Linked DNA regions of Arabidopsis thaliana. The protein of the gene in region 1 interacts with the protein of each later gene in a pairwise test. Each region holds a gene or a part of one and is shown on either strand. Other genes may lie near its edges.

What was found.
Region 2: the proteins of CIP8 (region 1) and AT3G52155 interact in a two-hybrid assay, tested with the Arabidopsis thaliana proteins (one large-scale study listed by BioGRID).

The regions. Positions count from the first base shown.
Region 1 is NC_003076.8:25,941,821-25,949,896, reverse strand, and holds CIP8 (COP1-interacting protein 8), read left to right. Parts: upstream 1-4,454; 5' UTR 4,455-4,554; coding exon 4,555-5,559; 3' UTR 5,560-5,782; coding exon of another isoform or gene 5,783-5,886; 3' UTR 5,887-5,906; downstream 5,907-8,076. Other genes in the region: ATH13 (ABC2 homolog 13), read right to left, coding at 1-1, 86-221, 308-781; CPR5 protein, read left to right, coding at 1,576-1,962, 2,523-2,579, 2,685-2,720, 2,798-4,012; AT5G64910 (Serine/Threonine-kinase), read right to left, coding at 5,783-5,869, 5,973-6,104, 6,173-6,220, 6,308-6,370, 6,437-6,475, 6,561-6,637, 6,769-6,827, 7,081-7,140 and 4 more. UniProt on the Arabidopsis thaliana protein: E3 ubiquitin-protein ligase that mediates ubiquitination and subsequent proteasomal degradation of target proteins. Probably forms a minimal ubiquitin ligase complex in cooperation with the E2 enzyme UBC8.
Region 2 is NC_003074.8:19,339,362-19,347,669, forward strand, and holds AT3G52155 (Phosphoglycerate mutase family protein), read left to right. Parts: upstream 1-4,333; 5' UTR 4,334-4,378; coding exon 4,379-4,562; intron 4,563-4,595; exon of another isoform or gene 4,596-4,612; coding exon of another isoform or gene 4,613-4,649; coding exon 4,650-4,749; intron 4,750-4,825; coding exon 4,826-5,005; intron 5,006-5,082; coding exon 5,083-5,200; coding exon of another isoform or gene 5,201-5,209; exon of another isoform or gene 5,210-5,286; coding exon 5,287-5,357; coding exon of another isoform or gene 5,358-5,361; exon of another isoform or gene 5,362-5,707; coding exon of another isoform or gene 5,708-5,848; coding exon 5,849-5,852; downstream 5,853-8,308. Other genes in the region: NOXY38 (tetratricopeptide repeat (TPR)-containing protein), read left to right, coding at 1-46, 252-308, 385-425, 520-639, 725-1,034, 1,143-1,250, 1,345-1,416, 1,533-1,934; PSRP2 (RNA-binding (RRM/RBD/RNP motifs) family protein), read left to right, coding at 2,713-3,030, 3,119-3,220, 3,300-3,602, 3,691-3,729; KCS15 (3-ketoacyl-CoA synthase 15), read right to left, coding at 5,708-6,169, 6,255-6,839, 6,922-7,230; AT3G52170 (DNA binding protein), read right to left, coding at 7,678-7,783, 7,883-8,052.

The DNA.
Region 1 (8,076 bases):
CCTTATACACATGATTTTTCAAGAATTTAGACAAAATGAGAATCGTCCTAATCCTAGACGTAAGCAAACAAAAACAAGTATCAACCTTTATAAGAGAACTTCTTATTGCTTAACCAAGTCCTGAAAATAAACTGTACAACAAAACCCCAAATCTCCAATGTTCTTTGAATAGTTGAGTAAGTCTTGAATCTATTCCATCGACCACCAGGTGTAACAGAAACCTGTAAAACAATATTAAAGTAGCAAACTTTCAAGGAATTGAATCATTAAACAAAACGATATTGATTAAAAGTACATTACTTTATACCTCAACTTGTTTTTGTTGAGTGTTGTTCTTAAACCAAGCATCCTCTTGACCAATATCTTCTACTCTCTTCTTCCTCACTTCTTCTTTTCTCTTCTTTGTCACTTCCTCCGTTTCCACCGTTACACTTCCGTTCACATACTTCACCAAACTACCGTTACCGTTCAAACGAGCACTTCCGTTAAAATCTCCGTTGACGGATTTTCTCGCAGAGCCGTTACCGTTTAAACGTGCACTTCCGTTGTAATCACCGTTGATCTTCACTGCATTATCACGATCTTCAACAGCGACATTATCGTCTTTAGAAGCTCTGATTAATCTCGTACGAATCCGGAGATTGTGATTGTAGCTTAATCGGTTTCTGGGTAAGAAGATCCCGGCGATTGAAACGGAACGAGTGATTGTTGGAGATTGTCTTGAGTTGAAATTGATGTTTGGTAAAAGCAGAGACGACGATGAAGAAGAAGAAGTCGCCATTGATGGTAATACTTCGGAAGAGAGATCTCAAGTTAAACCCTAGTTTCTCATGGATTATTTGCGTACAAGAGATTTTGAAGAAGAAGAAGAAGAAGAAGGTGAAGACTTGTTGTTTGTTGGCACTTTGCAGTGAGAGGTTTTTTGAGGTTCATGACGAACCACAGAGAATGTTAAAAAAAAAAATTATGATAAAATAAAAGGGGTGGATATGAAAAGGACACGTGGCATAAGATGAGATTAGTGAAGGAGATGTTCTTGTGTTTTGATTGGTTGTGTTAAGACACCTCATCGTGTTATTTATCGGAGCCACAAACATTGTGCGATTTTTTTTATTGTTCCTTTTTCCAAACACTTTTATGGTCCATCTTCAAACCAAACTGATTGGTTCGGTCCTAAACTCGACTACTTGGTATGTTAATCTGGTCCTAAGCTATATGTATGACTTTTAGTTCAATTAAGTACTGAACCGATCCTATTCATTGAACAGAAAGCACCTAGAAACATCAAATTATCGCTAAAAATCGAGTAAACATATTATTACCTATTTAATTGACATTAACATATACATTGTATAATTTGAAGAATTCGTTGAACTTACAAGTTAATTCAGATATTTGGTCAAGTATTTTTCCTATATTAAGCTAATTATGACGAATTTTTAAAAATACAAATTAAATCAGAGGAAAAAGTTGGAAATTCGAAACTTTTCACTAGTCACGAAGCGACCAAAGTCTTACAACTTAAATACTTTTCTCAAAGTTGCAAATTTACCCCATAAGTTATATTTTAAGGCTATGGAAGCCCTCCTCCTCCCTCCTTCGCCGGAACCCCAAAATCAAATCACCAATCCGGCGAATTCAAAGCCAAATCATCAATCTGGTGACGTACATAAAGATGAGACGATGATGATGAAGAAGAAGAAGGATACGAATCCATCGAATTTGGAAAAGAGAAAACTCAAGGGAAAGAAGAAAGAGATTATGGACAACGACGAAGCTTCTTCGTCCTATTGTTCTACATCTTCTACCTCTAATTCAAATTCTACTAAAAGGGTTACGAGAGTGGTTCATAGATTACGAAACCCTATGCGGTTAGGTATGGCTCGACGAAGCGTTGGTGAACGACAAGCTGAAAAATTGGCGAAGCCTCTGGGCTTTTCACTTGCCGCTTTTGCTAATATGGTTCGATCAATTTCCAAACTTTGATCTTTATTGCATCACATAACTGTTTTGATACGAAATTGGCTTTGCTGGTACGGGTTGTTCCTATAGTTGACCTTGCGTGAATACTAGGTTTTGGTTGTGTTGAAAGTTTTGATCTTTAGATAGTATTAAATACAAAGTCTTTCAATTTAGGCTTTGTTGATTCAAAACTGGACAGAGGAGAGGATCTGAATCAGAGTCAAAAGGATTGAATCTGAATTTTCTTCTCTCAGTACTTGCGTGAATTCTTCACCCTGAATCGAAGAGAGGATCTTCTCCTCAAATTATAATCAGAGTCAATCAATAGAAGCTGAAGTTCTTCTTGGGGGTCTCTATGATCGAGCTTCAATGTAACATTGCAAATTTATATTGTCTTCTCTCTCACTTGCCTTAAAGCTTGAGCCTTTCTAGTTTCTACTCGGATTTGTAGTTCTGATTGTGATTTCACCAAATTTCATCCTACCTAGCCGCCAAAGTCATTGACTTGCATATGCTCTGTAGTTCTTACTCTGTTTCTACTCTGTTTTATTGTTCTCTAGGTTATTGCGAGAAAGAATGCCGCAGGTCAGAATGTTTATGTTGATGATCTTGTTGAGGTAAGTAGTATGAACTTCAAATGATTTCTTCTCAGTTTCTGTTCAATCTTTCTTTTGCCATCGTTTTGGTAGTGATACAAGAACTTCATTGATTATGCTCTCCAGATCTTTGCTACTCTTGTCGAAGAATCATTAGCCAATGTAAGCTAAAATCCCCCTCTATGTTTTCCGCATTTTTATATTTATAGACTTTCTGATTCATAATGTTGTGGTTACAGGTTTATGGTAATAAGCTTGGTTCCTTTGCGACCAACTTTGAGCAAACATTCAGCAGTACTCTAAAGATCCTTAAATTGACCAATGAATGTGCAAATCCACATCAGTCAAACAATAATGATGGTGGGAGTTGTAATTTAGATCGCTCTACCATAGACGGATGCTCAGACACCGAGCTATTTGAGAGGGAGACTTCATCTGCTACGTCTGCTTATGAAGTGATGCAAGGCAGTGCAACAGCAACCTCTTTGATGAATGAGCTTGCCCTTTTCGAAGAGACTCTACAACTCTCTTGTGTCCCTCCTAGAAGTTCAGCAATGGCTTTGACCACAGACGAAAGGTTTTTAAAAGAGCAAACACGAGCAAACGACCTAAAGACCGTGGAGATTGGTCTTCAAATAAGAGAGTTAAGGTGCAAAGAGACGGCGCTAGGATTAAAATTTGAATCAAACAACCTGGGGAAAGCGGCGCTAGAGTTGGATGTTTCGAAAGCTGCATTCAGAGCGGAGAAATTCAAAACCGAATTAGAAGATACAAGAAAAGAAGAGATGGTCACAAGAATCATGGATTGGCTCCTCGTAAGTGTCTTCAGCATGTTGGCTTCTATGGTACTTGGCGTTTACAATTTTTCAATAAAGAGAATCGAGGATGCTACCTCAGTATGCGACCAATCCGAGGAGAAAAGTTCGTCGTGGTGGGTTCCTAAACAAGTTTCATCGATTAACTCAGGCTTCAACACCTTCATCTGCCGGGTTCGAGTTTGGGTGCAGATATTTTTCGGTGTGTTAATGATCATTGTCTTCACTTACTTTCTAAACAAACGATCATCAGGTACGAAGCAGACAATGCCGATAAGTTTCATCGTTCTTTTCCTCGGTATATTTTGCGGTGTATCGGGTAAATTGTGTGTGGACACATTGGGCGGTGATGGCAAACTCTGGCTAATAGTTTGGGAAGTGTTTTGCCTTTTGCAATTCGTTGCAAATGTCTTCACATTGGCTTTGTATGGTCTAATGTTCGGTCCTATAAACGTGACTCAAGAGACCAGATCGAACCGTTGTAACAGTATGTTTCCATATTGGGCAAGGCGCAGTGTCGTGTATGTGGTGATTCTGTTTGTTCTTCCAGTCATAAACGGTCTTTTGCCATTTGCAACATTTGGTGAATGGAGAGACTTCGCTATGTATCACCTTCATGGTGGGTCTGACTATGCTTGAGACGAGGAGGCCATCTTTGTATTGTAATTTATTGTAACGATTTGGGTTTTTTAATCTTATTTTATTTTATGGGTGCTGTTGAAACAATTGTATCGCTATTACAAAGTTATGTATTCGAGTTATATGTTTGTATTGTTGTCAAAAGAAATTAAAATTATGCTTTTCGATATGACAAAATTTCATGGGTCAAATGGTACTTTATCTTATCAAGTTTTTGGATAAAAGTGCAAGTCAGTTTTGATTTGGAAGCTGGTTTAAATTGGATTGAACAATTTGATTTTTATGTTTGACAGCAATTGAACAGTTTGATTAAATTGTAAGTATTATGAATTTATGATGATGGTGATATCATATATAGAAGAAAATATTATGATATTGTGGGTGGGTCAAGTGGGTAAATGAGCAGGATTCTCTAATGTCTTAAAAATTCGATAATAATAATACAGAGAGACCTTTTTCTTTTATTTTCTCCATCCTCTTAATCGGCTTATCGGATCCGAATCCGGACCCGAAAGCCTGAAAACCCGACGATTAATTGCACGATGTCCGATGCTCCGTCGTCTTCCCCGGATGCCACGGCGTCGCACTGGTGCTATCACTGCAACAAACGCGTCGTCGTTGAAACCTTAGATGACTTTGTCGTGTGCTGCGAATGTAACAAAGGTTTCGTCGAGTCAATTCAACCGACTCCCGCCGCTTATTCATCGCCGGCGCCACCGCAGCCACTTTCCCCAGATCTGAATGTAGAAGACTCCAGTATTGGCTCGCATTTCCTCCAGATGCTCCGCTTGTTAGCCCACGCGCCTTCTCAGCGTTCACCACCACGACACCTTGATGTTTTATCTTACGAAGATGATTTCTTCAGGTTGGAGCTCAATAGTAGAAACGAAATCGACGATGACGAAGACGAAGATGAAGATGATGGAGATGAAGAAGAAGAGGATGAGGAAGAGAATTTAACCGTCAACGACGAAGAAGACGAAGAAGATGATCTGAGGAGGAGAAATCGTTTTCCTCTCACGACGACGCAGTCGAGAACCGGAAGAAACAGAATTCTCGATTGGGCTGAGATTTTGATGGGAATCGAAGACAATTCGATTGAGTTCCGTATGGAATCAGATCGATACGCAGGAAATCCGGCTGATTACATAGACGATGCAGCCGGATACGAAGCTTTGCTACAGAATTTAGCAGAAGGAGATGGTGGTGGTGGCGGAGGAAGGAGAGGCGCACCACCGGCTGCGAAATCGGCAATAGAGGCATTGGAGACTTTCGAGGTTAGTTCTTCGGAGGGAGAGATGGTTATGGTTTGTGCTGTGTGTAAAGATGGAATGGTGATGGGAGAAACTGGTAAGAAGTTACCGTGTGGACATTGTTACCACGGAGATTGTATTGTGCCATGGTTAGGAACAAGGAACTCTTGTCCTGTCTGTAGATTCCAGCTTGAGACTGATGATGCTGAATATGAGGAAGAGAGGAAAAAAAGAACTTCTACCGTGTCAGATTCTGCTGCTGCTTCTTCTTCTTCTTCAACTTCTCGTTACTGAAGTGGAGGAAATGCCCCCATTTGTTGTTACTTTTGTTGTTACTCTTTCTCTTTAGATTAATCTTTGCTTAGTCTCTCAACACTATTTGGTTGGTTGCATGTTGCATCAAAGAAGCGAGAAAACAGAGAACAAAAAAAAAAAATCCGGCTCCAAAAAGACAATTGTTATTTGTAAGTGTGTTGTATCTTTGGCCTAAACAATCCCATAGTGGTTTCTTTGATTCTCAGTTGTTCATAAAGTTTGCCGAAACAAAAAGGTTCCTGGGTTTAGGAGAAACGGTTACAGGACTTCGTGAGCCTTCCCGAAGTACCTGTTTATGAACGGGGACTGCACAGAGACCAACAAACTTATATCAGATTTTGGCAATAATATTCAGAGTTCCATTGACAAACTAAGTTGGATTTGTTTTGTACCTTCTCAATTCCTGCAGTGTGGGGTGTGTCTGGTGAAGGCAATGGATAAAACTTGTACAACCTCATTTCTTGATAGGCTTTTTTTGTTTCTTCGCTCAGTCCTTCCTTTGCTTTCTCTAGGGCTTCTTGTGCCTGCCAATTGTAGAATCCATTGTTAAGTATATGTGCGGCTCTGTAGCAGAGGGTATGAAACATGATACCGTGTCATAAGCTGCCATAGCTTTGTCACTTTTCTCTTTGACAAACTCCTGAAAAAAGGAAACATATGGGTGAGTGATTTTAGAGACCTCCCTCAAATGAATTCATCAAATCAATTCCAGCTCTTGCTTGCTTACCTCGAACGCAACCTTTTGTTCCGGGAGTAATACCTCCTCATTGATCAGACTGTCGGTGAATTCCTAAAATAAACTGAGATGAGAAGTAATTCAAGTAAGGTGTTTTATTGGAAAAGTCAGATACTGCACCTCAATGACGCTTTTCACCCAGTCATATTCACATTCAACCTGCACAAAGGAAAAGTAAGTTTGATTAAAAATGAAACTACCAAATTGTATTGTCGATCAGTTAAGAAAGACAAAAATAACTTACTGGTGGCTCAGAAGGGAACATTATTTTAACCACAGTGCTCTTCTCAGAGTCATCAACCTTATATGGGTTGTTGATGTCTGCAAATCATAGTAAAACAGTAATATTTACAGTATGATGTCTAGGGAAAACAAATCTCAAGCAAATGAAAACATGGTACTGAGAATATAACATCAATAACAACCAGCTAAGCATCAAAATTAGAGCTCACAAGGAAGGCAATAGTTGAACTTTTTAACACGATCGTCAGGCAAATGTTTGAGAGCAGACCTGCAAAGAAAATATACAAAGCTAGGCTGAATACACCAAATTCTGCACTCGTTAAGTTACTGAATGTGAATGGGAATGATCGAAGAATGCAAAGTGTTGCATCACGTTTTCAGATAAAGCTATCTGCTTCAAAACCATATGTAATGTAATTCTTTTTCCTCTACAAAGCGAATGAACAAATCACGTCTTCTATAACTTCCTAACTTGCATGGTAACAAGACATTGGGAGGAAAAGATACCACAGAGTATTTACCTTCTCTGAGTACAGCCCAAGATGAAAATTGGAAAGTTCTTATTATCAACTTGTCTATCCCTGCAGAAGAACAAAAGCAGATGAAATTAGCAACAACTCCCATAAACATCAAAAGTAAGAAGAGTAATACACAAATATACTATCTGTTTCATTGCTTAAGACCCTCTCACGAAAATATGTGTACAACTCAGGGATGTCTATATACCTTTGTTCAAGTGGGATGTAAGGAACCCAAGCCATTTTCATAGTTTTCATTGCAATAATTTCCCCAACCTCTCCTTGAACCGATGCAACTCCTATCTCATCAGAAGGGGGAATAGGTGAATCAATCTGTAAATAGATAAGAACCAAAATTAACCGTCAGTTATAGATAAACAATATGATCTTGTTTTCCAATCACAATGCCGAGCTTATTTTTCAAACACCAGTGACATGATATAAAAAACGAAACCAAAGCTTACACAAACGACAACAGGAACAAGGACATCCTTGTTTTCATCTTTGTAAGTGACTGAATGAGCTGCAATGATAAGATAGATGATATCAAAAGGGGAAGAGAGAGATGCACATTGCAGTACCAGATGACTTTGCAAGCAAATCAGTCGACAAGATAAATGTCACCTTAATCTAATACCAAGAAACAAATAGTGCTATCTAGGTATAACTTACACTCAGTGCAGCCAAAAACATAGACTTGCTTCCCATAGAGCTCTCCACCTTCCTCCAGAGCTTCCTGTCATACAAAGCAAAGAGTACTTCATAACATACTAGTTAAGCACAGAAAAAAAAGTTATGCCACACTAAATGAACTATAAATTATTAACAATGGGAAATGAAACAGTATTATAGAAGCCACTTACTTCAAGATTTGTAAAATCCCAGTTGAATTCATTAAGTGCATCCTGTTGGTCCCACTGTATTCACAATATACAGAGCATAAGCCACAAATACAACAGTTTGATCATGAGGATAAGAGAGCTCCAAAAGCAATGTTGC
Region 2 (8,308 bases), on another chromosome or scaffold:
TGAGGCTAAAGATCTTGTTGAGATGGGGAAGGTCCAACTGGCTGAGGTACCTTTTGTTATTTCACACTAGCTAACTTTTGCTTGCTAATTTTTGCCAATATGTTTGTACTGGATAAGATCAGGAGAACCTTATTGTGATATGGATTGGCATTCAACTCTTCAATAAGCATCTCGTTTTAGTTTGCGAAAGTTGCATTATGAATGGTTCTTGGTTTAGTTTTTTATGTATGAAAATGATTAAACTTTTGTAGGGCATGCTTAGTGAATCCTACACGTTCTTTTCAGAGGCATTTTCGATACTTCAACAGGTAAGTAATCTGTATACGCATCTCGTCCTGTCAAAATAATTTAACACCGAAGTAGCTCATCATATTCTGATTTTAGGTGACTGGTCCAATGCACAGGGAAGTTGCAAACTGCTGCAGGTATGCGTCCGACTGATTTTTTGTTTTTCTGGAAAAATATCCATGGGCTTTCGTTTTAGTTGCCTTAAGTTTTTTGTCGTCTTTTGCTTTTCAGGTACCTGGCTATGGTTTTGTACCATGCAGGAGATATGGCTGGGGCCATAATGCAGCAACACAAGGAACTCATTATTAATGAGCGATGCCTTGGTTTGGACCATCCTGATACTGCCCATAGGTATCAACTATCTTTCTTTTATATTAATGTACTGTGATATTGTACTCTCAGCTATTGACTTGCTTCAAATGTTTTGATACTGCAGCTATGGCAATATGGCTCTTTTCTACCATGGACTGAATCAGACAGAACTTGCTCTACAAAACATGGGTCGAGCCTTGCTTCTACTTGGCCTTTCATCTGGCCCTGACCATCCAGATGTTGCAGCTACATTTATAAATGTTGCCATGATGTATCAAGACATGGGCAAAATGGACACAGCTCTACGTTATCTTCAAGAGGCTTTGAAGAAAAATGAGAGACTTCTTGGTCCTGAACACATTCAGACTGCAGTATGCTACCACGCTCTTGCCATTGCGTTCAACTGTATGGGTGCATTCAAGCTCTCACACCAGGTACTAAAACTTTCGTAAAGTCTTCTAGATCCCACCTTTCGACTCTGTTCTTGTCAACATGAGAACTATATGTCTCACCTTTCGACTTAATTGTTCTGTTCTTGTCAGCATGAGAAGAAAACATACGACATACTTGTTAAACAATTGGGAGACGATGATTCTAGGACACGAGACTCTCTAAATTGGATGAAGACGTTTAAGATGCGTGAGCTTCAGGTTTGGTGCACTGATAATGACTGAGGAGAACCTCATTTATCTAGTATACATTTTGTTTGGATTTCTCAAATTTTCTGGTTGGGTTTTGAATCAGATGACTGCACAAAAGCAGAAAGGACAGGCAGCTAATGCAGCCAACACGCAAAAGGCTATCGATCTCCTAAAGGTATACTTGCAGCTTTAGATTTCGGCATATTTTGCTGAAAAGGAATAACTCCTCTATCTTTGATGTTGTAGAGTTGAAATAATAATGAAATCGTTTTCCTGATTGGTATACAATAGGCACATCCAGACCTGATACATGCGTTCCAAAACGCAGCTGCTACTGGGAGGACAAATGCACTGAACTCTGCTGTCCTTGGGGAGACTCAACCACGGGGCAGAGGTTTTGATGAAAGAGCAGCTCGTGCTGCAGCTGAAGTTAGGAAGAAAGCAGCTGCAAAGGGGCTACTGGTTCGCCCCCAGGGTGGTGTTCCAGTTCAAGCCATGCCACCGCTCTCTCAGCTCCAAAACATGATCAATACCGCCACAGTTTCGTCTGAGAAAGGTGGAGAAAACGGGGAGGCAAAGGTACAAGAGAAGAAAGAATCCTCTGAAAATGGGAAAACAGAAAACCTGGCTCCTGCAGGATTAGGTGCTGGTTTAACATCTTTGGATAAGAAGAAGCAAAAAGCCAAAAAATAAGAAACAGTAGGATCTTGAAGGAAAATGGTGCTCAAAGAAAGTGCACGATTCTAAGTAGTGAAGTTGGTTTTTGTCTCTGGAAGTCGATAAACCACTTGCTGATTTCATTACATGACAACAACGCTTTTGTACGTTAAGCTTTGTTTTTCTTCCCATTATGTCACAACGATTTGGGTAAGTCCCGCTTCCAGGCATGTCTGGCTTTTTTCTTTTTTCTTTTCCCCTCACTTTTCTGCGGGTGTAATTTTATACCACAAAAACGTCATTGATTTTCTAGTAACTCCAATAAGCTCACAGTTCACGCTTATACCTAACCTTGCAGCCTTACTATTTTTTTGTGCTCTATACAAAAATCTTTTACTTGGCTTCTTGTGTCTCTAGAGTCTAGACTTTAGAGGGACACTAGATTGAACTCGACTAACAACGAAGAATCATGGAGTGGATACATCAATTTCGATCAACCATTAATGATCATCACATACTTCATTTATGTTCATCTTCCATCAATGATGAAGATGAACAGTGGCCTGTAGTGATGTTGTCACTGGCCAAAACAGTGGTCAGGCGTAACCCGAACAAGTACCTAAGTGTATATCAACCCATTTAAGTTTAAGTCTGCGGCGTGAGAGACGGGTAAATGGGTAATGTTTCTAGGCCCAAATTATAGGCCTTAATAAGGCCCAATTATCCACACAGGTTAGAAGTGAGGACGGCTAATGGATAATGTTGACGACACTCGCAACTTCTTCCTTATCGACACCTACACTCTCCTGCTACAATGGCGACTTTCCTAACAAATGTTGTTTCAATCAAACCTACAATCTTCTCATTCCAGTCCGAATCCTTCACTCCTTTGCATACACGGGTCAATGTATTCTCCTCGAAACCCTTTCCTTCTCTCGCTGGAACTTTCTCCCGGAGCTCTAGAACGAGATTCATTCCTTATGCTGTAACGGAGACGGAAGAAAAACCCGCCGCTTTGGACCCTAGTTCAGAAGCTGCCAGGCGTGTGTATATCGGTAACATACCCAGGACGGTGACCAATGAGCAGCTCACTAAACTTGTTGAAGAACACGGTGCTGTTGAAAAAGTTCAGGTTTTTATTCATAACATCTCCTTCTTCTATTATTTCTTAGTTAGTTATCATCAAGATTTGTTATTTGATGTTGTGTTGATATCATCAGGTGATGTATGATAAGTATTCAGGAAGAAGCCGTCGATTTGGGTTTGCTACAATGAAATCAGTTGAAGATGCTAATGCTGTGGTTGAGAAATTGAATGGCAATGTAAGTTTTTGAACCCTTAACTGCTTCGTTCTATACATTTTAGTTCTGAATATGACAGAGCTTGTTTTTGGTTTCTCAGACCGTTGAAGGGCGTGAGATAAAGGTTAACATTACAGAGAAACCTATAGCATCATCACCTGATTTATCAGTTCTTCAGTCTGAGGATTCAGCATTTGTAGATAGCCCTTACAAAGTGTATGTTGGGAATCTAGCAAAGACTGTTACAAAAGAGATGCTTGAGAATTTGTTTTCTGAGAAAGGGAAAGTAGTAAGTGCTAAGGTTTCAAGAGTACCTGGAACTTCCAAATCCACCGGGTTTGGATTCGTTACGTTTTCTTCTGAAGAAGATGTGGAAGCAGCCATTGTTGCTCTTAACAATTCGGTAAGTATCTCTCAACTGTTCCATCTTCTTCGACTATAGAGTGTGCATAATCTTTTTGTCTCATTTTGTTGTTGGTTTTAAAATGCAGTTGCTGGAAGGACAGAAGATTCGGGTGAATAAGGCTTAGCCTATTGGATCATAAAGAATGTGAAAAGAATCGCTTTGAAGAGTTTTTGTAATGCAAATCATTAGAGCTTAGTGTATCATCTTGTATTCATTCTAAGTTGAAAATGAAACCATATCTTTTCAAAAGCTTATAGTTGTGGTAATCTTGTTTCTAGGCAGTGTAAACAGAGAACTCCAATGACATGAACAAGTCATGCTACATCCAATTCAGAGGTAGGGATGATAATGAAGATCCCCAAGCTAAATTTATCTCCACCAAGTTTCCTTTCCATAAATGTATCATACAATGTAAAATTGCTACTTGTGTGACTTGTGAGCTTTGGTCACTCAAAATTTCTTAATTTAGTGTCTACTTCTGTAGCTCTTCTGTTGCTTGTTATGTTGTAAGTTGATTGCAAATTTGCAACGGTCCTTGTTCGATGAGGAAGAACCAGAGCTTCGAGAAGCACTTGATTCTCATTGGACTTTCGTTGGCAAACTGATCAAAATCTCGACCAACGGTTCCTCAGAGGTCTCAAGTTCAAAACTTTTTCTCTCTGGGTCCTTACTTCTACCTTGGAACAACTGAGTACCGATCTTATCTTTAAATTTCACGGCGAAGGATTAGAAATAAAGAAATTACCTTTCTTTAACTAAAAATCAAGCCAGAGATGCTTAGCTTGCAGTGTCTTCCTCCTTTCTTCATCTCCGTCCCAAATCGGAGCACCAATTCTTGCTCCACGGCTCCACTTCGTGCGGTCAGTGACTTCGCTGCTTCTCCGTCGACCTCAATCTCTCGCCGTCTTATCCTTCTCCGTCACGCTCACAGTTCCTGGGATGATCTTTCCCTCAGAGGTACTCTGATTCTCCTCTTTCTCGCTCAAAATCGAAAAATCAAATCTTTAATGTCTCTCTTTCTCTCTGTCTGTGTCTTAACGATAGACCATGATCGTCCTCTAAGTAAAACCGGAGAAGCAGATGCTGCCAAAGTAGCTCAAATCCTCTCCTCACTCGGTTGGCTTCCCCAACTTATTCTCTCAAGGTAAGTTCCTTCTTCAAATTATCAGTTTTGTTTTTCATTTCGTGATTGAGAATTGTTGAAATCATTCACTTCACAGCGACGCCACTCGGACTAGAGAGACACTGAAGTCGATGCAGGCTCAAGTAGATGGGTTTATGGAGGCAAATGTACATTTCATTCCTAGCTTTTACTCCATTGCTGCTATGGATGGCCAAACAGCCGAGCATCTTCAAAACATTATCTCCAAATATTCAACCCCTGATATCTCCACTATCATGTTAGTTTCTCATCAATCTTTTTTGCTTCATCTTACTTGTGCTGTGTTATCATTTCTTATTTGATTGATACATATAGGTGTATGGGGCATAATAAGGGTTGGGAAGAAGCAGCTTCCATGCTCTCTGGAGCTTCTATTAAGTTGAAAACATGCAATGCTGCTTTGCTTCAGGCTTTTGGCAACTCCTGGGAAGAAGTTTGTTGATTCAATCCTTTTTTCAGATATGCATGAGCTCGCTTTTTCTTTGATTTGGAGCTAATTCTTTCTTTTGGCCATCACAGGCTTTTGCGCTGTCCGGGCCTGGTGGATGGAAACTTGAGGGTCTAGTGGCTCCAGATAGTAGCATCTTTGTGTAAGAGAATGGAACATTACAAAGCTTCAATTTTTAGCTTTTTCCATGGTTGCAACTTTTGCTCCTACAGTATGTCATTCTTCAACTTCATGTCTGTTGCATAATATATATAAAAAGGTTGCAACGTCTCATCCTTATGTGCATAATTAAGCTCAGTTTTTAGCTACTGAAACAGATGAGTAAATCAAGAGTAGATTGCGTCTCTTTATTGTTTGTTTACCTTATTAATGTAAGATCCTAGCATCAGGGATATGTTCAAATGCAATCACACTATTTGAATAAATTGTGGATTTTGCATTGGTGGGTTATTTTATTCATGTTATCATACAATTGTTAACTTTGATGAATCCTCAGAGATTCCATGGGTTGTTATGTCTTGGAGGGTCAATGTTTTTTAGGGCTTTCCATACAACACTATTGCATTTAAACCCTGACCCGAAACCGATTTGCCAAACCCTATCTCCTCTTTTCATCTTCGCCTTGTGTTCTAGGTAAGCCAGCTCGTACCATATACTGCTGCTTGATGTGTTCCCGAAACGCTCCAATGTCCGTCTTGATGCCTCCATATTCTCTTCTGTCAACTTGAGATCCTTATGAATGTCATCAAGTACTTTCTTACTCGATGCTAATACGCATATATGTTCAAAGGAAGGCTCAAGACGACCAAGCGTTGCAATGTTTGCTTTCAGTGCATGGCGCCCAACTTCCATTACATCTCTAGATACATATAGTCCTTGTTTCCCATCTCTGTCTTCTCTTAACTCTATGCTCTTGTAACTTGTGTCTTCCATGCCTTTATGGGTTCTTACTAGCTGTTTTATTCACCAGTTACAATGTCATCAGTCAAAACAAAGAACAGAGCAAGAGTAAATCAGAGTGTTTCTTTGTTCTTCTCACCTGCATAAGTTGGTATTTGGCTCGCCATCTGTCGATACGCCGACTAGATAGCATAACTGCAGCTGCTCCCATTCGAAAGAAGCAATTTGGTGGAAGCAACGCGACGTCATTACCTGAGTACCAAGTGAAGCTTACTATCTCAGTGCTCACCACCAAAGCGTAAGAGCCTTGATGAGCGTTTAAAAGATCTTTGGCTAAATCAATGGCTATGACTCCGGCGCTACACCCCATACCACCAAGATTGTAGCTCTCTGTGTTATGCCTCAGCTTATAATGGTTAATCACCATGGCCGATAGAGATGGCGTGGTGTTGAGGACTCCGCAGTTTAGCACCAGGATCTTGATATGCTTCACATTGATTTTGGTCGCTGCAAGAAGTTCATCAATTGCTCCAAAGATCACCATTGCTGCTTCTTCACGACCATCACGAAGATTGACCCTGTGACCAGGCTTGAAGACCACTCTCGGCATGTAGCTCTCCTCTCCTATCCCTGATTGGTCCAGCACTTTTCTTTGAAGCTCGATGGCAGTCTCGTTGAAGTTACCAGACTTCATTGCCAGCTCGATGAAGTCGCTTTTTGTGATCTGTACAATTTACATCCACAAAACAACAATGAGAAGACAGAGAAAGAGAGAAGAGAGGTGGGGATGGAAGAGACATGATGACCTTGAGATGATCGGGTGGGCGGTAACAGGAGAAATCGAGAAGAAAAACAGAGGAAGGAGTAAGATAATGATAGATGAGGAGGATGAAGAAGGTAGACAAAGGGAAAGCCAAGATTGGGAGAAATCGAGAAACAAAGATGAAGAGAAGAAGAAGAGGAGGAAGGAAGAAACAAAAGGTACGTGAGAGAGAGAGAAGGTAAATGTATCCAAGCTTGACATATCTCAAATTATATCCGAGGAAATCAGGACTGCCCTTAGGTGACTTTGACTTAACTCCACCATTCACCATCTTTGTTGCCTCTTTTTCCATTTTCACTAAGCATCAAAACCTTGTGGTCTCTCAATAAATAATCAAATAAATATGAGTCAGTGTAACAGAAAGATGGCTTCTTTGCTGCATGTTACCGTTGAAGTGGCGGGTTTTGCTGCATCATTCAGTTGGTGTGGTGTAACTAAACCAATGCTCGGTTCAGGTAATTACCATTTTTTTGACCAATGAGAAGTAATCTCTCATTCTCCAAGCAATAATCGATAAATTCATACAACTGAAATCCATCATCTCCGTTGAAATGTTCAAGAAGATAATCAGAATTCTGATGTTTCATCCCTGATTGGACTATATTTGACTCAAACCATTATATGTAACCTAAACATTCAACACAAAAATTGTACAGCACATTTCAAACCATATTAAGCTTACCAACTCTCACTAATGAAAACTACAAAAGTTTAACCAACGGATCTCTACAATGAATTATTACTCTGACCAAAACTTCACAAAGGCTGTCACGAAAGATTTCAGAACTGCCAAGAGAGGATTTGTTTCTTGTCTTCCCATATTAGATTCCCCTTTCCACGATTCACTGAAAACAAGAAGAACGAAAGCTATGTGAAAAAGGAGACCCAAACACAATACCAACAACGCTAAAGCACAACTGAGACTTCGGAGTGTGTTCACTCACGGTTTAATTCTGTTTAATGTTGCATTGTTTTCTTTTTGAGAGCTGGAACTATCTGGAGCATCAATTTTCCCTTTTTCCATGGTTGCCTTCTTCTCTACACTTGCGACTTCATTCCCGGCATAGCTACTCACAGTGTCCACTTTTGCTCTGTCGTTCTTACGACTTCCCGACTGTTACACAGTTAAAAGGTTACAAAGTTATCATCCTTTTCTAGATTTTTCATGTGCCAAGTAGTTTAACTCAGTTTTTAAGAACAATCAACTAACAGCTCCGCGTATATTCAGTTTCACCTTAGTTCTCAAAGTTGGAACATCAAAATTGACTACCAAAACATCTTAAAACATTCAAGAGGTTGACTATTCCATCATTAACGTCCTTCAGCCACTATGATGAAAAACCTTATCCTAAACTCAGATAGGAAAACTA